Linked DNA regions of Macaca mulatta. The protein of the gene in region 1 interacts with the protein of each later gene in a biochemical or structural test. Links are inferred from orthologs where the notes say so. Each region holds a gene or a part of one and is shown in the gene's direction. Other genes may lie near its edges.

Region 1 (3,869 bases):
AAGAAAGCCCCGTCATTATCTCAAATGTGACCCAAAAATAAAGACCCGTCCGTCTCGCGGGGTGGGCCAGGGCGGGTCGCGAGGGAGGGGAGGGAGACCCCGACTCTGCGGGAGGGGCTCCGTCCGCGCCCCACGTCCGCCGAACGCGGGGTTCGCGACCCGAGGGGACCGCGGGGGCTGAGGGGAGGGGCCGCGGCTGAGGAACGCGGGCTGCCCACCCGCTCCTGGCGCCGCAGAGTCCGCACCGGGTTTTGGCGCCTCCCGCGGACGCCCCCTCCTCTCGGCGAGCGCCTCCACGTCATGGCCGCAGGGCGCAGCGAGCGCCCTGATTCTTCCGCTTGGGCGCTCAGGACGGCGGCCCGCTGCCCACCAGACTCAGTCCCAGAACCCCAGTCTCAGCAGGAGGACATTTTGGGACGGGACTTGGGTGACTGTAGGGCACTGGTTTTCTTTCCAGAGACCGGAACGGGCGAGCAAAAGTAGTCCCTTCTCGGCGATTCTGCGGAGGAATTTCCTTGGGGCGGTGAACGCCGATGACTATATAAGGACGCGCCGGGTGTGGCGCAGCTAGTTCCGTCGCAGCCGGGAGTGGGATCGCAGTTCTTGTTTGTGTGTCGGTGTCATCGCCACTTGGTGAGCAGAGGGCTGCTGGGCCGGCCATGGCTTTCGTGGCCGCTGGGCCGCTCGGTGGGATGGAGGGGGGCCGACGCCGCGGGATGAGAGGCCGCCGAGGGCTGTAGTCTGGGTCCGCGAGCAAGGTGCCCCTGAGCAGCGGGTGGGAGGGGAGCGCAGCAAAATGGCGGCTGTTCCCGGCTCTTGAATGGAAGACGGTTGTGAGGCGGGCTGTGAGGTTGTTGAAACAAGGTGGGGGGCATGGTTTGCGGCAAGAACCCAAGGCCTTGAGGTTTTCGCTAATGCGGGAACGCTCTTATTCTGGTGAGGTGGGCTGGGGCACCATTTGGGGACCTTGATGTGAAGTCTGTCACTGACCGGAGAACTCGCTTTGTCGTCTGTTGCGGGGGCGGCAGTTAATGGCGGTGCCACTTGGCAGTGCACCCGTAGCTTGAGGAGCGCGCGCCCTCGCAGTGTCGTGACGTCATCCGTTCTGTTGGCTCATAATGTGGGGTGGGGCCACCTGCCGGTAGGTGTGCAGTAGGCTTTTCTTCGTCGCAGGACGCAGGGTTGGGGCCTAGGGTAGGCCCTCCTGAGTCGACAGGGGCCTGACCTCTGGTGAGGGGAGGGATAAGTGAGGCGTCAGTTTCTTTGGTCAGTTCTATGTTCCTATTTTCTTAAGTAGCTGAAGTCTGAGTTTTAAACTATGCGTTCGGGGTTGGCGAGTGTATTTTGTGAAGTTTCTTAGGTATCTTTTAAATTGTAATCATTTGGGTGAATATAACATATAGTTTAAGTATTAGGAAGATTAGTACATTGTCTGCTAAATGGTGGTGGTTTTTGGCTCTTTTGTTAGACAATGCAGATCTTCGTGAAGACCCTGACTGGCAAGACCATCACCCTTGAGGTTGAGCCCAGTGACACCATTGAGAATGTCAAGGCAAAGATCCAAGATAAGGAAGGCATTCCTCCCGACCAGCAGAGGCTGATCTTTGCCGGAAAGCAGCTGGAAGATGGGCGCACCCTGTCTGACTACAACATCCAGAAAGAGTCCACCCTGCACCTCGTGCTCCGCCTCAGAGGTGGGATGCAGATCTTCGTGAAGACCCTGACTGGCAAGACCATCACCCTCGAGGTCGAGCCCAGTGACACCATCGAGAACGTCAAAGCAAAGATCCAAGACAAGGAAGGCATCCCTCCTGACCAGCAGAGGTTGATCTTTGCCGGGAAACAGCTGGAAGATGGACGCACCCTGTCTGACTACAACATCCAGAAAGAGTCTACCCTGCACCTGGTGCTCCGCCTCAGAGGTGGGATGCAGATCTTCGTGAAGACCCTCACTGGCAAGACCATCACCCTCGAGGTGGAGCCCAGTGACACCATCGAGAATGTCAAGGCAAAGATCCAGGACAAGGAAGGCATTCCTCCTGACCAGCAGAGGTTGATCTTTGCCGGAAAGCAGCTGGAAGATGGGCGCACCCTGTCTGACTACAACATCCAGAAAGAGTCCACCCTGCACCTGGTGCTCCGTCTCAGAGGTGGGATGCAGATCTTCGTGAAGACCCTCACTGGCAAGACCATCACCCTTGAGGTGGAGCCCAGTGACACTATTGAAAATGTCAAGGCAAAGATCCAGGACAAGGAGGGCATCCCTCCTGACCAGCAGAGGTTGATCTTTGCTGGAAAGCAGCTGGAAGATGGGCGCACCCTGTCTGACTACAACATCCAGAAAGAGTCCACCCTGCACCTCGTGCTCCGTCTCAGAGGTGGGATGCAGATCTTCGTGAAGACCCTGACTGGCAAGACCATCACCCTCGAGGTGGAGCCCAGTGACACTATTGAAAATGTCAAGGCAAAGATCCAGGACAAGGAGGGCATCCCTCCTGACCAGCAGAGGTTGATCTTTGCTGGAAAGCAGCTGGAAGATGGGCGCACCCTGTCTGACTACAACATCCAGAAAGAGTCCACCCTGCACCTCGTGCTCCGTCTCAGAGGTGGGATGCAGATCTTCGTGAAGACCCTGACTGGCAAGACCATCACCCTCGAGGTGGAGCCCAGCGACACCATTGAGAATGTCAAGGCAAAGATCCAGGATAAGGAAGGCATCCCTCCTGACCAGCAGAGGTTGATCTTTGCTGGGAAACAGCTGGAAGATGGACGCACCCTGTCTGACTACAACATCCAGAAAGAGTCCACCCTGCACCTGGTGCTCCGCCTCAGAGGTGGGATGCAGATCTTCGTGAAGACCCTCACTGGCAAGACCATCACCCTTGAGGTGGAGCCCAGCGACACCATTGAGAATGTCAAGGCAAAGATCCAGGACAAGGAAGGCATCCCTCCTGACCAGCAGAGGTTGATCTTTGCTGGGAAACAGCTGGAAGATGGGCGCACCCTGTCTGACTACAACATCCAGAAAGAGTCCACCCTGCACCTGGTGCTCCGCCTCAGAGGTGGGATGCAGATCTTCGTGAAGACCCTCACTGGCAAGACCATCACCCTTGAGGTGGAGCCCAGCGACACCATTGAGAATGTCAAGGCAAAGATCCAGGACAAGGAAGGCATCCCTCCTGACCAGCAGAGGTTGATCTTTGCTGGGAAACAGCTGGAAGATGGACGCACCCTGTCTGACTACAACATCCAGAAAGAGTCCACTCTGCACTTGGTCCTGCGCTTGAGGGGGGGTGTCTAAGTTTCCCCTTTTAAGGTTTCAACAAATTTCATTGCACTTTTCTTTCAATAAAGTTGTTGCATTCCCAACTGGTGTGGTTTTTTAAAAGTTAAGGTTATTTTGCATTAGACTGGGTGAAGGGGATCAAGGTTTTCAGTTTACAAATGTTGCTGTGGTAACAGTGAAATGTCAGTGAAGGGGTTGACCTTAATATAGTACGAACTGTAGAAGGTGGGTGCAAATAAAAGCCGGCTTCAAGACCAGATTGGCCAATGTGGTGAAACCCTATGTCTACTGCAAATACAAAAAGGCAGGTGTGAGTGTCTGTGATTCCAGCTACATGGGAGGGTGAAGGAGAATCCCTTGAACCAATTAAGCGGAGGTTGCTGTGATCTGAGTGCCACTGTCCTCCCGCTGGGGGAACAGCAAGACAAAAAAGTTGTTGGGAGATGGAAGTATTTTACATATGTAGATTTAACTCTTAAGTTAACTTTAAAAATACTGGTTTGTGGGTGATGTGTGAGGTAAGAGAATGGGAGAATTACCGGAACACCAGGAAGAAGGAATTTTAAAAGGTGGGAGTGGTGGG
Region 2 (4,264 bases), on another chromosome or scaffold:
TCGACTCCACCTGGCTCCCCAAAGTATTTAAAATGGTAGCCACGGGAATAGCAGAGTACTCTCTTTCAACTGAGTAAGAATATCAAATGAGGTTAATAAGCCGGGCGCAGTGACTCACACCTGTAATCCCAACACTTTGGGAGGCCAAGGCAGGCGGATCACCACGTCAGGAGTTCGAGACCAGCCTGACAAACACGGTGAAACCCTGTCTCCACTAAAAATACAAAAATTAGCCAGGCGTGGTGGTACGTGACTGTAATCCCCAGCTACTTGAGAGGCTGAGGCAGAAGAATCGCTTGAACCTGGGAGGCGGAGGTTGCAGTAAGCCGAGATCGCGCCACTGCACTCCAGCCTGGGCGACAGAGGGAGACTCCATCTCAAAAAAAAAAAAGTTTTAGTGGGTCTGTCATGATTCGCAAATGTAGAAACCTGATGATTTTCCAATGCCTAGTTCTAGCCTCCAAAGACAGCCCCCAGTGGGTCATTATTATACACAAAGATGGCCTGAAGATGAATACAAAGCCATTCATTCATTCATTCATTCATTCATTCATTCATTCACGCATGCCTGTATTCTGCAAACATTTATCAAGGCCTACCACAAGCCAGGCACTAGGCTGGAGGCTAGGAGCATAAAGATGAATAAGACACAGTTCCAGGCCGGGCACAGTGGCTTATGTCTGTAATTCCAGCACTTTGGGAGGCCGAGGCAGGCAGATAACTTGAGGTCAGGAGTTCGAGACCAGCCTGGCCAACATAGTGAAACCCCCATCTCTACTAAAAAATACAAAAATTAGCTGGGCTTGGTGGCGGGCGCCTGTAATCCCAGCTATTGGGCTGAGGCACGAGAATCGCCTGAACTCGGTATGGGGAGGTTGCAGTGAGCTGAGATGGCGCCACTGCACTCCAGCCTGGGCGAGACAGCGAGTCTCCTCAAAAGCAACAACAACAATAACAAAGACAAATGAAGTTAATATTTCACAGTGGGCTAGACACAGTTACACAGACTTTATACAGGCGGCAATCAAGCGTCCTGGACTTCAAGAAATCTACTTTGTCTGTCGCGCCACGCAGCCAACTGGAGTGTCACTGTGGGTTCTATTTACACCGTTATGAGAAAAACCTATGGCCAAGGAAAACTCGGTATCTCGGGTCGCAAACCGCCCATCTACGGCAGCGAGCGTACCCAAACGCCACACGGCGAAGTCCCGCTGGATGCAGGAAACTCCGAAGAGGTCGGGGACCAGGAGTGCCTATGGCGCGAGGGAGGCTGGGAATTGTAGTCTCCGCCTGCCTCCGAGGGCGGGGTCAGGGGGCGGGGCTCTCAGGCCATGTGGGTGGATGGGTCGCCGAGCGCCCCCGGCTCGCCCCGGCGTTTCCGGTCGCGGGTGGCCTCTGGAGGAGGAGGGGCGCCGCGGCCGACGCGCGCGAGGCGGTCTGGGAAAAAGGGCGGTGCGAGCGGGTGCGCGCGCAGCGGGCCGGCAGTGGCGGCGGAGATGGAGGAGGGAGGCCGGGACAAGGCGCCGGTGCAGCCCCAGCAGCCCCCAGCGGCGGCCCCCGGCGGCACGGACGAGAAGCCAAGCGGCAAGGAGCGGCGGGATGCTGGGGACAAGGACAAAGAACAGGAGCTGGTGAGGCGCGACCCCAAGAGCCGGCGGAGGAGGCCGCGGGGCTGAGTCACGGCGGCTCCACAGGCCTCAGGCCCGACACCCAACGACCCCACCGCACCAGGGAGAGGGCGGTTGGGGCGACCCTCGGGACTCCCGGCACCCTGCCTCTCTGCTCCTCATTCTCCGTTCCGCGCTGTCACCTCCGCCGTCTCCACCAACCCTCACCACCGCCGCGTGAGGTGGACTCGGGCGGGTCATTGTCACCTCCGTTTCCTAGAGTGGCTTTCAAGTAGAGCCTCGTTCAGAACCCAGGCTGATTTCCCACCAGAGCTTCCTATTCCCACTGTTTCCTTGCCCACCTGGCCCCTCCTAAGAAGGCAGGCTTATTCTCCACCTGCCCCGGGTAAGTGGGAGGAGGACGTCTTTGGGATTCCTTCTCTTAATGAGCTGCTTCTCCCAACCCTCCAGTCTGAGGAGGACAAACAGCTTCAAGATGAACTGGAGATGCTCGTGGAACGACTGGGGGTGAGTCACGATGTTAACACGATTCGGACATGTTTGGATCTTTCCCACTTGTTTGTTTTATTCTGTTTTGAGGCAACTGCTGTGTGCGGTGGACTGTATTTTAGAGTCAGTGTTATGATGATGTTGGGAGGCAGGAGAGTTACAAAGGGTATTCGTGCAGTTTTGCAGCTTTCTCTTGTGGGAGAAGCAGAGTTCTTAACTCTTAACTTGGGTCATTTGTTTTTGTGCCAGGCAGGGTGCAGGGAGTTGAGGAATCACAGATGAATGAATAAGACACGGCTATTTCCTTGGAGGAGTTGTTAAGTTAAATATCTCTGTATTATGACTTGAAGGGGTGTGACTCCTTTTTGTCTGAGCCCTGTCTTCTCTTGATCAGGAGAAGGACACATCCCTGTATCGACCAGCGCTGGAGGAATTGCGAAGGCAAATTCGTTCTTCTACAACTTCCATGACTTCAGTGCCCAAGCCTCTCAAATTTCTGCGTCCACACTATGGCAAACTGAAGGAAATCTATGAGAACATGGCCCCTGGGGAGAATAAGGTAAAACAGTTTCAAACCTGGTGGAGGCCTAGTTTAGGAATTCCTTTTTACCCAGACCATGGGGGGGCTCATTGTGAGTCACAGGCAGCCTGATAGACCTAAGCCCTGATCTATTTGAGCAGAGTTCATCACAGTCAAAATATCCATAAAAGAGCTGAAAGGAAAATCAACTTCTCAGAAGACACCGTTTCTGTTATTTGTGTTGGACTTTGGGGTTTCATTATAATGGTTTATTTTTAACTTATGTTTAATCTTGGTTTTTCTCTTTCCTTCTATCCCATGCACATTCATTTATCTCTAAAATATGTTCCACATTCAGTCACTTCTGTGCTTGCTGGTACAACCCTCATCCTGGAAATGTTCAGTTTTCGCATGGGCTATTGCAGCACCGCTTAACTGATGTTGCTTTTGTCCTTTGTTCCTACACAGTCTGTCTCTTATGTAGCAGCTATTGTGATCTTTCTCAGTTATGGGTCTTTTCTGCTTAAAACCTTTTAATCGTTTATAATTGCCATTAAAGTAAAATTGAGAGCCTCCATTTTTCTCCACATTATCCCTTGTTTATCACCCTTCAGCTGTGTTAGTTTAAAAGGAAGATAGTGGCTGGGTGTGGTGGCTCACACCTGTAACCCTAGCACTTTGGGAGGCCGAGGGGTGGATCACCTGAGGTCAGGAGTTTGAGACCAGCCTGGCCAACATGGTGAAACCCTGTCTCTACTAAAAATACAAAAAAAAAAAAAAATTAACTGCGTGTGGTGGTGGGCACCTGTAATCCCAGCTACTCAGGAGACTGAGGCAGGAGAATTGCTTGAACCCTGGAGGCAGAGGTTGCAGTGAGCCGAGCGCACCATTGCACTCCATTACTCCATCCTGAGAGCGAAACTGCATCTCAAAAAAAAAAAAAAAAAAAAAATGGAGATAGCAACACCAACCTTGGTTTTTGTGAGGTTTAGCTTAGATAACGTGTTAAATTTCTAGTACAGAGATTGGTATATAGTTAATAGTTAAATTTTGGAGATAACGATCTTGATTCCACAAGGCATGTTCCCTTTATGCTGGACTGTTGGGTTTGACTTCAAAGGACTGTTTTCTTTATAGCGTTTTGCTGCTGACATCATCTCTGTTTTGGCCATGACCATGAGTGGGGAGCGCGAGTGCCTCAAGTATCGGCTAGTGGGCTCCCAGGAGGAATTGGCATCATGGGGTCATGAGTATGTCAGGTAAGATCTTTCTTCTTGGGAATCTGAAGGGGGCCTCTGAGGCTCTGAGATAATTCAGAATTCTCTTGTGGAGAACCATCTGTCTTGGAGTATCAGTGTATTGAATTTCCCAGACACTGGATTCCTTGACCCACAGAGAAGTGCTTCCCCTGAAGCTGTGCTCCCTTAATCGTCTGGGCGTATCTGTAGGCATCTGGCAGGAGAAGTGGCTAAGGAGTGGCAGGAGCTGGATGACGCGGAGAAGGTCCAGCGGGAGCCACTGCTCACTCTGGTGAAGGAAATTGTCCCCTACAACATGGCCCACAATGCAGAGCATGAGGCCTGTGACCTGCTTATGGAAATTGAGCAGGTGGACATGCTCGAGAAGG
Region 3 (4,059 bases), on another chromosome or scaffold:
AGTCTGCAAAAACCCAACTCTGTGAGAAAGACAAGGAAGAAGGAAGATGATGGCAGAATAGATCTACAATCCTAAGGATCACCTGCTAGTAGGAAACAACTTAAAACAGGTTGGGCAGAATGTTTACAGTATCAACTTCAAGCAGCTGAAAGGTAAAGCATTTGGAACCAGGTGGTTCTGGCATGGAGAGATGGGCGCGCCATAACCTCCACAAAAGCTATCAACAGAATTACTACAGGGCCTTGATAGACACCTGGTTATTATTCAGAGATTATGCACACAATCTTACGGACTTTGCAGTCAGATGTCTATGTAAACACGTTGGACACAAAAATTAGCAAGCAAGGTGTAATTGCGGGCGGGAGGAAAATTCCCTTACAAACTTCAGTTGACTGACCCCTTCACCTGTTCTTTATCTTAATATCCTCGTTATTCGCTCTCAGCTGAGAAGCATTACTTGCTATTTCAGGTGGAGCTGATGGGCACATCGTGAGGGGCCCTCTTCCGTAAAAACGAGGCGATGTTAGGCAAACACTCTTTACTCCGCCATTTCTAGTTACGTCAAGGATCTTACTGCTCCAGGACGGAGGACCTCCAAGGTAATCAGGGTAGCGATAATCACCGATACAGTTAAGCGGGGCCCTGGGATGATGCACTCTCAGACCCCGTGGGGAGTGGCCCTTGCGCCCAAAAGAGAGCAACGGAGTAGGCCCGGCCCGGCACTCCAGTTGACTCCCTGCTTCCCCCACCCCAAAAGCCTGAGCGCGGAAGAGGGGGAACACCAAAGAAACCCGCACCAATTCCCTGACCCTGCCCTGGGGAAAAATGGCGAAGCCCAGGGGCGGGGGACAGGACGGCACGAGTGACCCGGCGCTCGCCGGGCCTCGGAGCCCCTGGAGTTTGTCGCGGTGGGCGACGCCGCGCAACTGCTACCCGTTCGTTGCCTCCGCCATCTTCTCTTACTCACCCGGACTCCCCCCGCGGCCGCGCTGGCTTCGCGTTTCCCTTCCGGCCGCTGACAGAGATCCGGGCTGGGCGGGGTGGGCGAGCGCGCGGAGGGGGTGGACCGAGGGCGGGGAGGCCGGACGGAAGAGGAAAGGGAGGGCGGCGAGCCAGTCACGGCGGGGTGTGGAGCGTGCAGCGTGTGTGCGGAGGGAGAGGTGGGGGGCGGAGAAGAGGCGAGGGAGGGAGGGAGGCGGAGGAATGAGAGCGCGCGGCGCCTCTCGGCCGCTCCTAAGCCCGGGCGGAAAGAGCCGAGCGCAGCCCGAGCGCTCTGTTAAAATGGCGGCGGCGTCGGCGGTGGCCGCGGCGTCTGGTCGGTGAAGTGACTCTGCTGCTTCTCTCCCCACCCGCCCCCTCCCTCCCTCTCCCCTTCCCCCGTCCTTCCCCTCCTTCCCCGCCGCCGGCGCCTCCGCGCCCCTCCGGCCTGCGCACCTCCCCTCGCTCCCCTCCTTTCCCCCGCCCGCTGCGGGGACCGCCGGCCCCCTCCCCCATTCTCTTGCTCCCCGCCCCGTCCCCGCCGCCGCCCGCCCTCGTCGCCTCCCCGCCCCGCCGGCCGGCCAGCCCCCTCCTCCGCCTCTCTCCCCTCCCCCCCGCCGGTCGGGATCAGTCAGTGTGATCCGAAGCGGGGGAGGGGGGGGGCGGCGGCCGAACGATGTGCGAGAACTGCGCAGACCTGGTGGAGGTGTTAAATGAAAGTAAGTAGCCGCGGTAGCGGCCTGTCGGGGTGCACGGTTTGGGGTCCTCGCGCAGCTCTCTGGCTTCCCCGGGCTGCCGCGGCCTGCGGGAGGGGACGGCCGGGCTGGGCGGCGTGCGGGCCTAGCGCCCTGGGAAGGTGCGCGGTGGCGCGGCCGCCGCGGCGCCTCGGGCCCAACCCGGCTGGGTTACCTGGGCGCCCGAGAGGCGGCCGCCGCGGAGCTCCGGCCCGGCCGGGCCCGGGTGCTCTGGGCTCTCGGAAAGTTTTCTCATTACAGGTGTCAATTAATGAAGGCAGTAATGAGACCCTTGCCGCCTTCACCCCTTTCGCCCCCTTCGCCCTGCCAGGAAGGTGCGGGGAGGTGGGGTCGGAGGACGAGGCTTTCCTCCGCAGTCCAAGCCCTCCGGCAGCCCTCTTTGATTTCCAGCGTGCTGCCAAGGCCTCTCTTACCTGTTAATTTTCATTAAACTCCCCGGGAGCAGGGTGGTGGTTTTTCCCTCCCTTGCGGGTGTGTGGGTGTCTTAAACACTTCAGCCAGACCTTAAATAGCTGAAAACGAACTGTGATAGTGATGACTGGAACCTTCATACCTATTTTAAAAATAAATTTGTTAATGATGCTTCTTAGTGTAGCATTCACCGCTTTAATGGTAAATTCTGTTAGGCAGAGCACTGTGCTACACATACCATCCCGGGATAGTTATGGCCTATCTCTCCTGGAAGGAAAGGCCTTTTACCTGATACTTTACTTTCTATTAAAGAGGGTACGTTGATCTTTTCTGGCCTTTTTATTTTATATTTCGACCCTTGCAAGATGGTATTTCAGCTTATAGAAGATATATGTCAAATCACCTACTTCTGGGCCTAAAGGCCTGGTTGGCAAAGGTGAATTAGATGGATCAATTTACAAAAAGTTGGTTGTTGAAAAAATGCTCACTTATGAACAGTTTATGTGGGTTTTGGATTTGTATTCTGTTTGTGATATTTCCACAGATAGACTTTCATACTATCTAATTTTGTAATACAATTCACTCGATTTATAAAATATATCATGGTGTTTGTGTTTGAATTTTACTTTGTGTTTGAATGTCACTTGAATGACCAAAGACAACAATAAAAGTGGAAGGGTTCTAACTCAATTTCAACTCCGTATTTACTTCCTGATAGATGGAATAGGCTTTTGCACATATTCCAACTATTGGTTCCGGTATTTGTGTCACCCTAAATTATCCTAGAATTTTAAGATTATTTGTGTGTATTTTGAGATATTTTTATTTCTGGTGCAGGTGGTTTACGATATGATAAATCTTCAATACTTACTGTATTTTATATATCAGATACAAGTTGTGTGATGATGTTTGTTATGCTCAACTTGGAAAGTTAATAGCTTTGCAATGTAATATGAGGAACAAGTACTTAATTTCGTTGGTGATTTTAAATATATATATATTTTTCCCCCGAGACAGAGTTTTGCTCTTGTTGCCCAGGCTGGAGGGCAATGGCAGGATCTTGGCTCACTGCAACCTCTGCCTCCCAGGTTGAAGCGATTCTCCTGCCTAAGCCTCCCGTGTAGCTGGGAATACAGGTTCCCCCCACCATGCCCGGCTGATTTTCGTATTTTTAGTAGAGATGGGGTTTCACCATGTTGGTCAGGCTGGTCTCGAACTCCTAACCTTGTTACCTGCCTGCCTCGGCCTCCCAAAGCGCTGGGAATACCGGCGTGAGCCACTGAGCCTGGCTGATTTTAAAATATCTTAAACTTGGAAAATTTTAAACAAAACATCTGAAGAAAGTAAAGTTTATTTTTTGAAAACAGGTGGCATCTTGATCATAATGAAAGGTCTTATTTAAGATTATCTGGGAAACCCCTAGAACTTTGGTTAGAAGCACTGAAAAATGCAATGCATTTATGGAGAGTTAGCAATGTGGAGAATTGAGACAGAATTTAGCTTTTATTACCTTTAAGCAAATACAGTTAGTTCAACCGGGTTCACAAAATCTGGTCATGTGCACCCTCTAAGAAACCTGTTTTAATGAATAAGTAAGGATTTTCTATTTGTGTGTAAGCCAGTGCACTCTAAAAATACATAATTTCTTAATATTGCCTTTGAGGCTCAATATAAAAATTTAACTCTTAAACAATAATCTCTCAGTGATGCTTCCTTTTTAAAAAAATTTACAGCCGGGGGCAGTGGCTCTTGCCTGTAATCCCAGCAATTTTCGAGGCCGAGATTGGCGGATCACCTGAGTTTGGGAGTTCAAGACCAGCCTACTAACATGGAGAAACTCCGTCTCTACTAAAAATATAGAATTAGCCTGGCATAGTGGCACATGCCTGTAATCCCAGCTACTTGGGAGGCTGAG
Region 4 (3,500 bases), on another chromosome or scaffold:
ACCGTGCCTGGCCCCATTTATTTTAATAACATTCTGGGGAGTTTTGTCCTGGGCTGTGTTAATTACGGATTTCTATTTATTGAACTGTGTGCTTATTTATGGATAAAATTTTAAGTAGCTATATGATGATTTTAATTTTAGGAAAAACTTCAACCAAATTTTAAGAAATTTGGCACTGGTTTAAAGTGAATTTTTTTTTTCTGTGTGTTTTGTTTTTAACCACCTGGGTAGAAGGACTTGCCTCCCCACATTGAGAGTTACTGCCATAGTAAGCAGTCGTTACTGATTGGCGTGTGTTATATGTCCCTTAGGTTTACTAGAACAGAAAAGTGGTTTCAAGCCCTTTTGCCATTTTAAAGTTTGGAATCCGAGAAACTATTGTAGTTTCTACTCTGTTAGTACCTCTGTATGTGAGCTATAGCAACCAACTCAAGGGAGAGGAACCTGACTTTAATGCCTGCTGTGTGTTGGGCCTGTGCCAGACACTTTATATTTACTCTGAAGCAACACAGTGCAGCAAGTGTTACTCCCATTTGATCAATAAGAAACCCAGGATTCCAGTGGCTTCAGGTAGCTTGTTTGAAGTCTCACAGCCAGTATATGATGGAATTGCACTACTCAACTAGGTCTCTTTTACTTAAGTCTGTGCTCTTCCTATTAGACCAGTAGTTTTTCAAACTTATGTAGGAGCTTTAGGGCTTCTGAGTTAAGTTCCTTGAAGATTTCTGAACAAGCAGTAGGAAGTTTCCCGGTTTTTTCCTTTCTTTTTCCTCTCCCGGCAACTGGAGCAGCTATAGTTTTTATATATATATCAGATTCCAACTGGGATTTTCATTTGAAGAAGGGTTTATGCCATCTTTAGAATAAAACAAAAAAATGGAAAAGCTTTGAAAATGTAAGCAGTTTTAACTCATAAGTATTGATGGATTAGTTATTTGTGAAAGTCACTTAATTGAATACCTCATTTTTCAATGATGCCATATAAGCAGGATGCTAAGTCTCTCTCTTTCTCTCTTTCTTTCTTTTTCTTTCTTTCTTTCTCTCTCTCTCTCTTCATTTTTCTTTTTCTTTCTTTCTTTCTTTCCTTCTGACTTTCTTTCTGTCTTTCCTTCTATCTTTCTTGACAGAGTCTCACCCAGGCTGTAGTGCAGTGGCACAGTCTTGGCTCACTGCTACCTCCACCTCCCAGGTTCAATTGATTCTCATGCCTCACTTTCCCCAGTAGCTGGGACTACAGACACGAGCCACCACACCCAGCTAATTTTTGTATTTTTAATCGAGATGGGGTTTTGCCATGTTGACCAGGCTGGTCACGAACTCCTGACCTCAGGTGATCCGCCCACCTCAGCCTCCCAAAGTGCTGTCATTACAGGCATGAGTTACTGTGCCCAGCCGAAGTCTTTTATTTTTAACTCAAGCTACTAAACGTCCTTCTTTCCAAAAGTCTGGTTTCAAAGACTAAATGGTTAAAAGTTCAGGGAACGAATCTTTTATTCATAATTCAGCTAGCTGCATTTCAGGCACAAAGTGGATGTTCAGTGTGTGCTTGTTGAATTAATATCTAGTGGGGATTTTTTTTAGTACCAGATAAAAGTAGAAAAATAGGCTATTTTGAAAATGAATATCTTTTTATCTATAGTTAAAATATAATGGTGATAAATGTATTTTATAGATAATATAGATTGCCTTTCAGGATAAAAATTACATAAATCTAATTGCCAATTTTTTATGTTTTTTCAAGATTTTTATTGAAGGATGGCCAACTGTGGCTATGTGCTCCTCAGGCAAAACAAATATGGAAATGCTTAGCTGAGAATGCAGTTTACCTTTGTGATCGTGAAGCCTGTTTTAAGTGGTATTCCAAATTGATGGGGGATGAACCAGACTTAGATCCTGATATTAATAAGGACTTCTTTGAAAGTAATGTGCTTCAGCTTGATCCTTCTCTGTTAACTGAAAATGGAATGAAGTGTTTTGAGCGATTCTTCAAAGCTGTGAATTGTCGAGAAGGAAAACTAGTAGCAAAAAGGAGAGCCTATATGATGGATGACTTGGAGTTAATAGGATTAGATTACCTTTGGAGGGTAAGTCAAAAGTAGGAACTCTGTAAACAGTGTCTGATGTACTTTTTCATATACATAAGGAATTATAATTTCACATATAAATTGTGTATTTTACTGTGATGTTTGTCTCAGGAATTTGGTGTAGTTAGTAATTGTTCATTTTTATTATTATATCACTTGTCAGTGGGCTTTTTCTTCTCTCTTCCTCTCCCTCCTCCTGCCACTGATGTTCCTTTTGTCTTAGCTTAGTATCTGTGTATTCCATAGATGTGCACTAAACATACAAATCTTCCATTCCTCCCCGTGGATATTGTTCCTTCCCAATTTTTCATTCAGTGTCGATCTGTTTCCTCCTCTTCAATGTTTAACGCTAAAATAGAGGACAGAAGAGAGGATTTGTGTTTAGTATAGATTATGAGTATATACTTTATTGGCACTGTTTACCTTGTGATATTTTTAAATAGCTGGGGGAATAAAATACTATCTTTTTAAGGCTAATCTTTCTATTTTTATAGTACTAGTGTATTATTCCTATCTTTAAAAGTCTGACCTGTTATACAGCAGTTTATATTGTTGTTTGGATGTCTGAAATTTTTTCCTGCAAACCATAGATGAAGATGTTTACTGTGGCATTTGAGTATTTAAAAGCTTTTCATTAAGTATGTGGTTTTTCAACATTGTTTTAACAGCAGAAACACATCTTAAAAATCAAAATTTGCACCACTCTACAAAATGTATACTGAATTGAACAAAAAAATATATTTTCTTACTTGGTCTCCCCATGCTTACCCCCTTTCCCCTCCCCAACCCTTTTATAGGGGCCAACACTGAAAGACTTCCTCAAAGTCCTCTAAGGTTCTGAACATAGTTTGGAAACCACTAATGTAATTAGATGAGTGATAAAGATTTATAGAAACTGGGGGTAGAGTAGTCCTTTATGCTAAACTGTGTTTCATGTAATCTCTTATTTCCTGTCAACTAATTTGAATTTCTTCTTGAGTGTCTGACTTGGTTATCAAGATATTAAATTATAGGGTTAAATAATAGTGGTCAAAGCATATTTTATTTTTACAAAAATGTACCTTTCATTCTTAAACAAATTACTTTTTTCGGAGACTTTCATTTTGCATTTATTATCCTTTCTTTTGGTCTGTGCTTCTCACTTAATTTTACTTGATTATCAAAGTCAACTTACCATTAAATAATTGAATAGTGTATTTAAGATAACTGAGGATATGGTTTGAATTTAAATGCCCAAAAAAATATATGTTGAAAGGGGTGAATACTTTTATCATTTTGAAACCAGGTCGTGATTCAGAGTAATGATGATATTGCCAGCAGAGCTATAGATCTCCTCAAAGAGATATACACAAACCTTGGTCCAAGACTACAAGTCAATCAGGTGAGGATTGATGTGCATTAAAACTTCCATATATC
Region 5 (4,138 bases), on another chromosome or scaffold:
ACTACTCACTGTGTGTTTTCCTGGAAAAGGACTTTAACCTTTTTGTGTCCCAGTTTCCTCATCTGTAAAATAGGGATAATTGTATCTGTGTTAAAATAGGGATAATTGTATCTGTGAGTTTGTGTGTATGAAGTACTGAGAACAGTTCCTGCCATATGGTAAGACTGTCTCTACATTTACTAATTAGTAGTCTCTTCTCATTTGTCTTATGATGGCTGTTTGTGTATGCATTGCCATAAACCCCCTTTCTGCTACATTTTTGGTTCATGAATATCTTTGAGAGTTATAAACTGACTTCACTGCACTTTATTTAGTGACTTTATTTTGAAAGTTCACAGATTTTCCCCTGACTCGTAGTAGCAGGTTTTACTGTTTTAAATATAAAATCAACTTTATTTAAGCATGTCTTGGAAATGCATATGTGGGCACGAAGGGAGCAGACTGCATAGGCTGATAGATTGGGCTTTAAAGCTCTTTGGAGGTTTCTCCTTTCCAGCTGAATATTGTCTCAATTCCTTATCATGGCATATAAGGCCCTCCGTAACCCAGTTCTGTCTGTGCTTTCATCTCACTTGTCTTTGTGGTTGCTCCAGACCCTGTGCTGCAGCCCCATTATATTCAAACTGGGTATGTGGTTGTGCTGAAGGTTACTCTTTAAGTCTGTGGCCTAGTTTGCTTCTACTGAAGAATGGACTTACACCTGTAATCCCAGCACTTTGGGAGGCCAAGGCAGGAGGATCTCTTGAGCTCAGGAGTTAGAGACCAGCCTGAGCAACATGGCAAAACCCCGTCTCTACAAAAAATACAAATAAAAAATTAGCCAGGTGTGGTAGTGCATGCCTGTAGTCCCAGCTACTTGGGAGGCTGAGGCGGGAGGATCACTTGAGCCCAGGAGGTCAAGGCTGTAGTGAGCTGTAATCATGCCACTGCACTCCAACCTGGGTGACGGAGAAAGACCCTGTCAAAAAAACCAAAACCTTTGTCTAATTCTGAAGCTCAGTGCTCTTAACCTCTATGCTGAATCATGGAAAAGAATAAAGTCATAAGGATAGGGAAGTATTTGGGGACACTGAACTGAAAGAAGCTCTGGCACTTCTCAGCTGAAGAAATAGTTATAGACAGTGAGGTTGCCAGTTGACTTTTCTTGTGGAGTCAGAGGCCTCAAGGAAACTGTGTGGAGTTTTAATTGAGAATGCTTGGTCAGAGTTTACTAATTCTTGGTTATTTTTAGTGTCTCGATTTCCACTGCCTGTTGTACCTTCTCTTTGTTTTTTTTCTGGGGAATCTTTTTCGCAAATAAAAACCTGTTCCAACTAACCCTATTTTCTTTTTTGGACAGGATCCTGGGGCATCCTTTGGCAGCCGATTGTACCCTGCACTAGAGAGAAGTCCAGGAATGATATATTCTTGGGCTGTATTTCTCTACCCTGGAATTCATCCAGTTCATCCCAGAAACACTGACCTGGTTACTGTGACAAAGTCTGATGGATAGACCCTTTCTGTTGACCTTGCGGCGTTTTTCTTTCATGTGGAAGTTGGAAGACAAGGTGAAAGGGGCCAAAAGTGACCTGCCTTGGTGAATAGGAGTGCTCTACTTGGTTCTCAGAACATGGGCCCTCGTTTAAAGGTAAGGTAATAGACTGAGTTGAGCTTTAGTTATTGGGATGTAGAACATGGATCCAGTGAGCAGTTCCTAAGCCTTTTCAGCAAGGGATAGCTGTTGAAGTATACAATTGCAGTGAGAATTGACTTTGTCCCCAGCAGAGCATTTTTAAATATGAAGAAACCAGTTCTCCATTTTTGGGAAACGACTTTTTCACAACTGATATTCAATGTTAGGGCTAAAATTTAGTTGCTATTGTAATTAAAAATCTTTATGCTCCGAAAAAGCAGAGGATTTTAAAATATGTATGTTAATCAACTTTCTAACAGTCCCTTGAGACAGATATTTTCAAGTCTTTTTCCCCTTTTGTAGGTAATGTGAGCCAAAATGCTATAGTATTAAGCAACCAGACCAGGATCCTTCGTAAGCAAGTGATATTTCTGCACTAGAGAATTGGCATTGCATTCCACTTTTCTTTGTCATGCTTTATTTATATTTCAAAAGATTAAAAAAAGAGCCATAAGAGTTTATCTTTCTAATTTTAGCTTTGCTTTGAGATTCCTCACAGTAAGATTGGATAGTGTTTCTCATACTTTGTTTTACCTGTTTTCGTAAATCTTTTTTTCCCCAAATACTTCACTATCCTTATGACTTTATTCTTTTTCATGATTCACTGTAGAGGTTAAGAGCATTGAGCTTCAGAGTTAGACACAGGCTTTTGCTTTTTTTTTTTTTTTTTTTTTTTGGAGACTGGGTCTTTCTCTGTCTCCAGGCTGGAGTTCTGTAGCACAATCATGGCTCACTGCAGCCTTGACCTCCTGGTCTCAAGCAGTCCTCCCGCCTCAGCCTCCCAAGTAGCTGGGACTACAGGCGTGCACTATGACATCCTGACTAATTTTTTATTTGTATTTTTTGTAGAGACGGGGTTTTGCCATGTTGCTCAGGCTGGTTCCGAACTCTTGAGCTCAAGTGATCCTCCTGCCTTGGCTTCCCAAAGTGCTGGGATTACAGGTATGAGCCACCATGCCCTGTTAGGCTTTCCAGCCAGGCTTGAATCTCAACTCTGTCACTTATCCCAATGTGAGATATTCAGCAACTTTAAGCCCAGCTTAAAAAAAAAAAATCCATAAAACGAGAATGATAGTATTCATCTTACCAAGTTGTTGTGGTGACAGTTACTTAGGCTAACATATGTAAAGCACTGAAGGCAATGTTCGGCCTGTGATATGTGACTCGATAAGCAGATAGAAAGTTGTTAATTTACTACTGTCACATTTTTCTTCTAGCTTAAAGTATCACAGTATGCCATATTTATAAAGGTCAAGGACACTAAAGAGAGGAACTTGAAAACACACAAAATACTCATAACAATTGGATGAAATAGTACAGTAGAGCCTTATATACTTGTTTGTGCTGGAATTAGACTTGGGAAAGTTCCAAAATAATTTCATACAGAAAAATATGAATAGCAAAAAGTAAAGGGTGCCGTAGAAACTGCTGTAGAAAAATACCATGCATGGGAATCTGCAACCCCAGTGGTGGGCATTTGATACCTGCTCGTTGAACTGAATTAAATTGGCAACTTTTAGGTTGAGGAACTTATAAACGGCTCAAGTGAGTACACTGTTAATTAGAGAAATCCTTTCAAGCTCTGTCTACAAGGAAGATCCCATCTGGAAAATTCCTGATCCTTAGGCATTCTGGACAAAGAAAAGGACAGACATTTGATCTTATTCATATTTATTGAAGTTACTATATGCAATTATGTTGGTTTCTTTGGAGCATTTTTTTTGGAGACAGGGTCTCACTCTGTTGCCCAGGTTGGAGTGCAGTGGTGCCACCAGGGCTCACTGCAGCCTCAACCTCCTGGGCTCAAGAAATCCTCCTGCCTCAAGCCCCCTCCCTGCCTCCAGTAGCTGGATATAGGTGTGCACTAGTATGCCCAGCTAATTTGTTTTCAAATTTTAGTAGAGATGAGGTCCCACTGGTCTCAAACTCCTGAGCTCAAGTGATCTTCCCGCCTTAGCCTCCCAAAGTGCTGGGATTACAGACATGAGCCACCATGCCCAGCCTGGAGGATTTTTAAGACTACTCATAACCACTCTAAAATGAAAAAACGAGACTAAAAGAATAAAAGTGCTAGGCCGAGCATGATGGCTCACACCTGTAATCCCAGCACTTTGGGAGGCTAAGGTGGGCGGATCACCTGAGGTCAGGAGTTTGAGACCAGCCTGACCAACATGGAGAAACCCCATCTCTACTAAAAATACAAAATTAGCTGGGCGTGGTAGTGCATGCCTGTAATCCCAGGTACTTGGGAGGCTGAGGCAGGAGAATCGCTTGAACCTTGGAGGCAGAGGTTGCAGTGAGCCGAGATGGTGCCATTGCACTCCAGCCTGGGCAACAAGAGTGAAACTCCGTCCCAAAAAAAAAAAAAAAAAAAAGAATAAAAGTGCTATAAGATAAATAAAAACAATGTTCTATGGAAATTCACAAGAGGAAAGGAATTTCTAAATTTAGTATTAGGGAAGATTT
Region 6 (3,500 bases), on another chromosome or scaffold:
CCGGGAGGTGGAGATTGCAGTGAGCTGAGATTGTGCCATTGCACTCCAGCCCAGGCAACAGTGTGAGACTGTCTCAAAAAAAAAAAAAAAAAGAATTGTGTTTTGGTTTTGTTGCTGTTTTAACTCTGGAACGTTTTCATCTCTTGAACTCAGGCTTGGTCACAGGGTTTCCCAGGAGGTGTGGATGTAAGCGAAGTCAAAGAAGTATACCTCGACCTGCTTAAGAAAGGCGTTCAGTTTCCTCCCTCAGAAGCAGAGGCTGAAACAGCAAGACAAGAGGTAAGAGGCCTTTCTTTGACCCATGGAGAGTATAGTAGTATATCAGTTGGGTCTTTTCTCATTGCAAGAGACAACCCCAAATCCACTTAAGCTTAAGCAAAAAGATGAATTTATTAGAAGGATATTGCAATATCTCATAGAATAACCGAGACTTGGGATTTTGCTACTTAAAGTGTGAAAGTTTGTTTGGCTTGCTCCACCCTAGACTAATCAGAACCTCCCTTTTTACAAGATTTCCAGGTGTTTTCTCTGTACATTTATGTTGAGAAGCACTGGCCTAGAGCCTTGAGCTTTCACCTCGCCGCCCAAGGTTGGAGATGTGGCATTGACCCAAGGAGGGTCATTGATGGAGAAGGAGATGCCTTGTCAGCTGTGGCTTAAACAGACTTGACATGAATTGAGCTATCATTTGTTATTAACAGTCCAAAGAGAAGGCATCAATAATCTCACATGGCAGTTTATCACTTAAACCCTTGGTAAAAAAAAAAAAAAAAAAAAAAAGGCATTTTATTAAATTGTAAATGATAATTCTAATAGCCACCTCTTGTTGAATACCTGCTTTATTATGGGCATCTCATTTGCTTAGCATTCTTCACAAAATGCTGGACGGGTTGTGTAGTTGATGATTTACTCCGGGCAGATACCCTGTACACAGGACTTTGTTTGAGAGTGCTTGAGTTAGCTGAATGGAAAAAACTTGGCGTTGGGTGGCTATGTTAATTCACATAATAATATTACCATATTTTATACTCATAGACTGCTCAAATCTCATCAAATCCTCCAACATCTGTCCCTACTGCACCAGCTCTTTCTTCTGTAATTGCTCCAAAGAACTCGACTATTACATTGGTCCCAGAACAGGTAACAACAGCAATCACTGTATTTATTGATATGTTTTCCTGATTTGTAAGCACCTTATATACAGTTTGTCCTTTCTGGTTAACAACATTGAGATGTAGGTACATTTATTTTACAGAGGAAGAGACTGAGGCTTAGTCATACTATGTGACTTATAGTTCAGTTCCAAGAAGGATTAATCCCATTGGTTCTGTCTACTTCCAAAGCCCAACTTTGTAAGAGTTGTGCTTGCCTAGTGGCTTTCATGGCTTTGTGGAGCCTTGACTGTGGACTGGATCTAGTGTCCATGAGCTAATTCCTGTTACTTCTGGTAGGACTGTCACATATTTCAGAGAGTTTTGTAAATGGTAGTCTTATTACTTGTATTTATTATGCCAACTGAATTGTATTTACTTCTTTGTGTATATCAGTTTGTCCAAGGTACAGATAAGCAATTATTGTATGAAGCCCATTTCCGTTCCGCTGTAAAGGAACTATAATTGAAGACTTTGTATTATTATTTTTTTCTTATATAAAAATTCATGTGACTAATTCCTCTTAGAATTTAATACAGGAAAAAGATTTATTTCTTCTTTCTTCTTTAATACCATGAGAACTAGATAACCCTCATTTGTTTTTCTTTTATCCTGTCGGTTGCCAAGAAACTCAGGATAACTTTTGCCATTTTATCCAGGTTTCTGGTACCTCCTTCTGCTAGGTACCTAGTACTTCTCCCCTCTTCATATTTGGTTCTAACCTTTTTTTTTTTCTTTCATTTTTAAAATTCCTAAAGCATATTTTGGGGTTTATTACAAGAGATCTCAAGTCCTTTTAGAAGGTGACAAGGTATACATTGTAAAATAACTATGTGTATATTTATATGAAATTAAATTTAAGTTTGAAAATATTAAATTTTGCAGAAGTATTTTTTCTTCCAGCAAATGTCCCATGGGGGCAGGAAACAAGGAATGTGAACACATTCTCTGTGTGCCACACTGACTGGTGATTGTGTTGCTCTCTACAGATTGGAAAATTGCACAGTGAATTGGATATGGTGAAAATGAATGTGCGAGTGATGTCCGCCATATTGATGGAGAATACGCCTGGGTCTGAAAACCATGAAGACATAGAGCTTCTGCAGGTGTTGTACGATTTCAGGGACAATCAGTCAAAGTGTCTCTTAAAGTTATTCTCTAAATTCTGAGCTTTGGAGATGGAAGACACCTTAATATTGTCTAGTACGTCCTCCTACATCCTCATTTCAATTGATTTCTAAACTTAACAAAAATATCCAAGAATGACTTTGTCAGAAATGCGGTAGTGACTTAGACGTGGATTTTAGCCTCTTGCAACAAATAATTTATTGTAAGTTATAACCTTGGTCATGTATAATCAATTCTCTAGTTGTTTTAAGTATGTAAAAATTGCCTCTATTTTCATCCATTCAACAAACATTGAGTAACTGTGATATAGGAAGGGATGTAGAAATGAGGAGGAGGCTGTTCTAGTCCTTAAGAATTTATGCCTAATGAGCAAGATTGGTTTGTAAACAACAAACATAAAGAAGTATTATAGATACTGTAATATAAATTTGTTCAGTGTATGGTGGGATCATGGGTGGGCAGAAGGAGAGAGGTGAGGTTTTTAGGAATGGTCTAGATGGAGGCAGTGCTTGAGCTGTAGAGGAACAAGTAGACAGGGCATTTGGACCTGCATGAGTAGTTCTACAGCCCTCCTATGCCTTCTGCTATGTCTGTGTATACATATACTTTATTTTTCCCTCTACTGGTTTGCTGTTCTAATTATTTAAAATTTTAAAACTTATTAATTTTAGAAGCAGTTAGAAAAAAAATCAGTTTCTAGTTTCTAAGTCCCTTTGTTGCTAAACTAAGAAGCTTAAGATATTTTTACTTTCCTCAGATTCCCACTCCCCACTTCTCATGTGTTATTTTTCCTTTAACTTCTTAGATTGTTAGTAAATAACTTTTCCCATGCTCATTTCTTATTTGGGAAACAAAAAAAATTTTAAAAATTTTCCCAACAATGTTTCTTATATATCACTGCTATCGTGAATAGTTTGTTTTTTCCTTGCTGAAGTACACCCATGTTGGTAAACTTTGGTGCAAACTTTGAGTGCTTGCATATCCAAAAATGTCCTTTGATTGTCATGTTAAATGCAGATTAGTTTAGCTAGATATAAAATTCTAGGCACAAAATTCTTGTTCTTCAGGCCTTTGAAGATACTGCTTCATTGTTCTTTTACACCCACTAATGCTGATAGAAGTATTATATTATTCTGCTTCTTAATCCTTTGATTTATATTTTTTTCTAGTTGCATTTGTTATTTCTCTACTTTAATATTTCAGAAATTTTACTGTTCCCTA
Region 7 (4,250 bases), about 49 Mb from region 1:
TCAGGAGTTCAACACCAGCCTGGCCAACATGGTGAAATCCCCTCTCTACTAAAAATACAAAAATTAGCTGGGCATGGTGGTGCATGCCTGTAATCCCAGATCCTCCGGAGGCTGAGGCAGGAGAATCACTTGTGCCTGGGAGGCGGAAATTGCAGTGTGCCGAGATGGCGCCACTGCACTCCAGTCTGGGAGACAGAGTGAGACCCTGTCTCAAAGAAAAAAAAAAAAAAAAAAAAATGTGGCTTAAAGGTGCCTTACTTAACAGTGGTATGGCATAGTTCCATTGGCAGCCTTTGTTTTCTTTCTTGGGTAAAATAAAACAATGTAAGTCTATGATTTTTTTAGAGCTGCTATGAAATATATCAATAATAAGGATTATATAGGCCGAACTCTATTGCTTATTCATTTCAATGTATCCAACTTATCAGAATGCCTTCTGACTTCTTGTTAAGAAAATGCAATGAGATGAGAATAGCTTAAGAAAAAATCCTTAGTTCTGGGCTACAAGGGAAAATGAGTTACGACCCCAGTTTAATTACTACAGAAAGCTTTCTCATTTGCCTTCATTGTGATCAGGGTTTGAGTATGATCTTTCTCTATTCTACCTCCCTTACTTCTGTATAGTTATTTCATTAGGCGGCTAGAGGGGTTCTTCGGATCATGGCTAAAAAAGAAAGCAAAAGGTTAAGTCCTAGAGTTAAGCCATTAGGAAAAAAAGTTAAGGCATTAGAAAAAAAATTCAAGAATTAGGCTTTATTTTAAAAATGGAACCAACTGTCAAATTCCTGTGTACCCGTTTAAACTGTCACCAACCTAACACACTGTAAAACTTAATGACTGTAAAATTGGCAGCAGGATCCTGAACACAAGAAGGAATAAAAATAAGTTTGCTAGGCTGTTTTCATCCCAGCGTGATTGAAATACACCGTTTCCTCAAAAAAAAAAAACCTCTAATGAGGGAAGCAGTGAATCAAATGCCACGATTAATGTGCCACTAGAAATAGGAACAAGTAGTTACGGAATGCTTCTTAGGCCAGACACTCTACGATGCGTTCTTTTTTCTTTGTTTCGCTAAAGCTTTTACCAAGCCTTAAAAAGGAGAGGGGTACTAACTGAGCCCTGACCAGACCAGGGAGCCCTACTGTGCAATCTCCTCAGGCCAAGAAGGGCCCGGTACGACCCGCCCATAAGGCCTGGCCGATCAACAGGCGCTGGGCCGACCTTTGGTGGGCTCGCTTCCTGAGGCTGCCCTTGGGCATGCGGAAGGGGACTGGCTGGCGATAACACCCTGGCGAAGCAAGGTGGACACTGGCTCCCGCGCTGTTCGCGCCCGCCTGGCAGGGTAAGCAACTCCACCTCTGTATCCGGGCACCGTCACGTGACGGGAAGAGGGCGTGGCCGAAGCCCGTGATCCTAGGGGCGGGCTGGGCAGTGGGAGGGCGCTAGAATGTGAAGGATCTTGGCGGTTCTGGGTGCCCAGAAAGGCGGCGACGCGGCGGATGACAACATTAGGCCGCGACGCGCTCCTGGTCAGGCGGCGGCTGTAGTGTTAGCTTTGGACTCCGCAGTAGCCGCTGCCGGTAACAAGCCGACTCTGAGGGAAGGTGGGGGTCCGCCCTGTCCGGTGGACCGCGGGGCCGAAAGTACCCGCCCCGCTCGGAGGCTGAGCCAGCAGTGCCTCCGCGGCAGCTGGGCAGCGCCCTCCGTCCGGGCTCGCGCCCCAGCTGCCGCCGACGACAGCGGCCGAGAGAAGTTGGGGTCTGACTAGACGCGTACGGGGCCCCGGACCCCGGCGCCGCCGCGACTCCGGAGGAACCGGCTCCTTGCGTCCCGCCTCCCTGGGAGCTCAGCACGGGTGAGTGTTTGCTCCATTCCTGAGGTGGGGGTGCTGGGTCCGCACCCCTCAGAGCGACTGCGCACCCTTATTGCCACATTCTGAGCTCGGGCTGTCGGGGACTCCTGGCCACCCGCGCCGAGGAGTTCTTTGGCTCCTTTGTTCCATTTTGGAGTAGGGGGATTAGAAAGGCTGGCGGGGTGGAGTGTTTCGGGGCCCACGGTAGGTGCATCTGCAGCCTTACAAAAGCCGCGGCAGGGGAACGGGGGTGGGAGGCTCTTGGAGCATTTCGACTGCCCCGGGTGTCTGTCCCTCCTGAAGTTTGATAGGTCGATGGCATGGGTCTCGTTGGGAGCCCCCGCGCCCAGGAGAGCTGGCGCTTTGTCGCTTGGTGCGGTTAAGACGAGGCTCCTTTTTTCCTGTGACAGCCCCAGAGGAGGCTGTGCCGCGCACCGCAGACCACACCCGCCTTTGCAGAGCCGAGCGACACGGTGTGTTCCCCTAAGCCTCAGTTCTCCCGGCCTTCTTGTAACGTAGGAGGAAAGCCAAGCCTTTGCTGTGCTTTTAAATTTGTTTCTAAGCCCTCTCTCAAGAGTGGAGTCAGGTTCCAAGGAGCTTCACATGCAGCATGCTTTAGGTTCATTGAACCACCCACTCAAGACTGGCTGAGGCGAAGCAACAGTATATGCAGATTTTCCATTCACAAAAGTCATTTAACCCTCTTTATGAGACACATCTGCGTTGCAGAACGTAACCTAATTTCATTTTATTTAAATGCTTTCTGAAATAATAGGTAACTTGTACTAGGTAAACAGATGGGTAAACTTTAACTGATAATGTAAGTATATATGCATTAAATAAAAAATTTAATGATGTTTTTCCCTTTCTGCTGCTGGAAGACTTAAATGACGTCTGAGTAGTAACACAGTGTCTCCTGCATGGCAGTTAAGTTTTTCCCCAAATTAGTGCTGCTTTTGAAATAATCATTTAAAACAGTTTTTGCCTCCCTTTGTATCTAGAGAGAGCAAGAATTGTGGAGAATCGTGGGTGAATTGATTGTTAGATTTTGCTAATTTTCTAGGGTTTCATCTAAACTTGCTCATGCTGAGAGGCTATGATCAGTTTCTATGCTTGCTAGAACCTGTTTTGCAGTGAAATTATTAAGATCATGCTAGTTTTATAAAATAGGTTGGAAAAGGAAGAGTAAGGCCATGCGGTTTAAAACTGTTCTCTATGAAAGTACAACTAATTTCAAATGTTTGTAACTTATTTTTTTTCGATATTAACCATTTATGGAGTGACTATAATATGCCTGTTCAAAGAGCTGAGAAAGGGAATAGATGAAACTTAAGCTACCTTTTGGGTCTTTAATTATGGACATCAAGGTATTGCGGTCACATTCCATGTCAACCGTTTGAACAGCAATACCGTGTACACAGGTGCTTAGAAATGCCTGTTTAATTAAAAATGGCCATGGTTTATTTCTCTTTGATTGGATCATAATAGTTATTGAATCTCTGATCTGTGGAAAGATGCTACTATATTTTCCAGTTAGAATGTTATTGCATTTTAAAGGCAGTCAAATATGTTTTTTATAACACATTCAGGGTACTTATACATTTGTTAATATTCAGTTTCTTGGTTCATTTAAAAATTGAAAGGTTTAGACTACACTTTGGGGATACATTTACAATTGTGTATAATGAAGTTATGTTTTAGTTTGTTTTAAGAAAAATGATGAAATTATGAATTTGTAAAATATGCATTACAAAAGAAATTTTATTTTTATTTTTTTAGACAGAGTCTCACTCTGTTTCCCAGGCTGGAGTGCAGTGGTGCAACTTGGCTCACTGCAGCCTCTGCCTCCTGGATTCAAGATATTCTTATGTGTCAGCCTCCTGAGTAGCTGGGATTACAGGTGCGCGCCACCATGCCAGGCTAATTTTTGTATTTTTATTAGAGATGGGGTTTCACCATGTTGGCCAGGCTGGTCTCCAACTCCTGGCCTCAAGATCCATCTGCCTAGCCTCCCAGAGTGCTGGTATTACAGGCATGAGCCACTGTGCCTAGCGGATCTTTCGTTTAAAAGTATGAATTGCAGAATTTTAACCAGTGTTAGTACATTTCAACTTGCTTTGGTTTGTAAATAATCCTTCAAAAGCAGATTTCTTGAATTGAGGCATTAAAGACAAAGAATTGATACAGTACATAGATTTAGTTTTCTGATATTAATTTGGAAAACTTTAATCCTAATAACAATACCTGAAATGTCATGTTGTAATGTTGGTATTATATCGAAAGTTAAAAACATTTATAGCAATGTTCTTGGAGCATCAGGCAATTCAAAGAGGAATAGGTCCTGTCTTAATGTTACAAATAATGAACTGCAAATAAGACAAACACAACTTGAATAAAA

Evidence for each region.
Region 2: the proteins of UBC (region 1) and PSMD2 form a complex in vitro, tested with the Homo sapiens proteins (2 studies listed by BioGRID). The link is inferred for Macaca mulatta from reciprocal best matches to the Homo sapiens genes UBC and PSMD2.
Region 3: the proteins of UBC (region 1) and USP34 form a complex in vitro, tested with the Homo sapiens proteins (2 studies listed by BioGRID, with this or other methods). The link is inferred for Macaca mulatta from reciprocal best matches to the Homo sapiens genes UBC and USP34.
Region 4: the proteins of UBC (region 1) and USP9X form a complex in vitro, tested with the Homo sapiens proteins (5 studies listed by BioGRID, with this or other methods). The link is inferred for Macaca mulatta from reciprocal best matches to the Homo sapiens genes UBC and USP9X.
Region 5: of the proteins of UBC (region 1) and AREL1, one has a biochemical effect on the other in vitro, tested with the Homo sapiens proteins (3 studies listed by BioGRID). The link is inferred for Macaca mulatta from reciprocal best matches to the Homo sapiens genes UBC and AREL1.
Region 6: the proteins of UBC (region 1) and TOM1L1 form a complex in vitro, tested with the Homo sapiens proteins (2 studies listed by BioGRID). The link is inferred for Macaca mulatta from reciprocal best matches to the Homo sapiens genes UBC and TOM1L1.
Region 7: the proteins of UBC (region 1) and OSBPL8 form a complex in vitro, tested with the Homo sapiens proteins (2 studies listed by BioGRID). The link is inferred for Macaca mulatta from reciprocal best matches to the Homo sapiens genes UBC and OSBPL8.

Annotation. Positions count from the first base shown.
Region 1 is NC_133416.1:132,362,011-132,365,879, reverse strand, and holds UBC (polyubiquitin-C), read left to right. Parts: upstream 1-1,471; coding exon 1,472-3,301; 3' UTR 3,302-3,369; downstream 3,370-3,869.
Region 2 is NC_133407.1:96,437,907-96,442,170, forward strand, and holds the start of PSMD2 (26S proteasome non-ATPase regulatory subunit 2), read left to right. Parts: upstream 1-1,464; 5' UTR 1,465-1,496; coding exon 1,497-1,631; intron 1,632-2,078; coding exon 2,079-2,135; intron 2,136-2,511; coding exon 2,512-2,676; intron 2,677-3,774; coding exon 3,775-3,896; intron 3,897-4,085; coding exon 4,086-4,264. UniProt on the Homo sapiens protein: Component of the 26S proteasome, a multiprotein complex involved in the ATP-dependent degradation of ubiquitinated proteins.
Region 3 is NC_133418.1:63,290,838-63,294,896, forward strand, and holds the start of USP34 (ubiquitin carboxyl-terminal hydrolase 34), read left to right. Parts: upstream 1-1,259; 5' UTR 1,260-1,654; coding exon 1,655-1,697; intron 1,698-4,059. UniProt on the Homo sapiens protein: Ubiquitin hydrolase that can remove conjugated ubiquitin from AXIN1 and AXIN2, thereby acting as a regulator of Wnt signaling pathway.
Region 4 is NC_133426.1:41,047,346-41,050,845, forward strand, and holds part of USP9X (ubiquitin carboxyl-terminal hydrolase 9X), read left to right. Parts: intron 1-1,741; coding exon 1,742-2,084; intron 2,085-3,369; coding exon 3,370-3,465; intron 3,466-3,500.
Region 5 is NC_133412.1:147,882,481-147,886,618, reverse strand, and holds the start of AREL1 (apoptosis-resistant E3 ubiquitin protein ligase 1), read left to right. Parts: upstream 1-1,338; 5' UTR 1,339-1,627; intron 1,628-2,521; exon of another isoform or gene 2,522-2,614; intron 2,615-4,138. UniProt on the Homo sapiens protein: E3 ubiquitin-protein ligase that catalyzes 'Lys-11'- or 'Lys-33'-linked polyubiquitin chains, with some preference for 'Lys-33' linkages.
Region 6 is NC_133421.1:55,050,356-55,053,855, reverse strand, and holds part of TOM1L1 (TOM1-like protein 1), read left to right. Parts: intron 1-153; coding exon 154-279; intron 280-1,035; coding exon 1,036-1,140; intron 1,141-2,140; coding exon 2,141-2,257; intron 2,258-3,500. UniProt on the Homo sapiens protein: Probable adapter protein involved in signaling pathways. Interacts with the SH2 and SH3 domains of various signaling proteins when it is phosphorylated. May promote FYN activation, possibly by disrupting intramolecular SH3-dependent interactions.
Region 7 is NC_133416.1:83,717,976-83,722,225, reverse strand, and holds the start of OSBPL8 (oxysterol-binding protein-related protein 8), read left to right. Parts: upstream 1-1,450; 5' UTR 1,451-1,855; intron 1,856-4,250. UniProt on the Homo sapiens protein: Lipid transporter involved in lipid countertransport between the endoplasmic reticulum and the plasma membrane: specifically exchanges phosphatidylserine with phosphatidylinositol 4-phosphate (PI4P), delivering phosphatidylserine to the plasma membrane in exchange for PI4P, which is degraded by the SAC1/SACM1L phosphatase in the endoplasmic reticulum.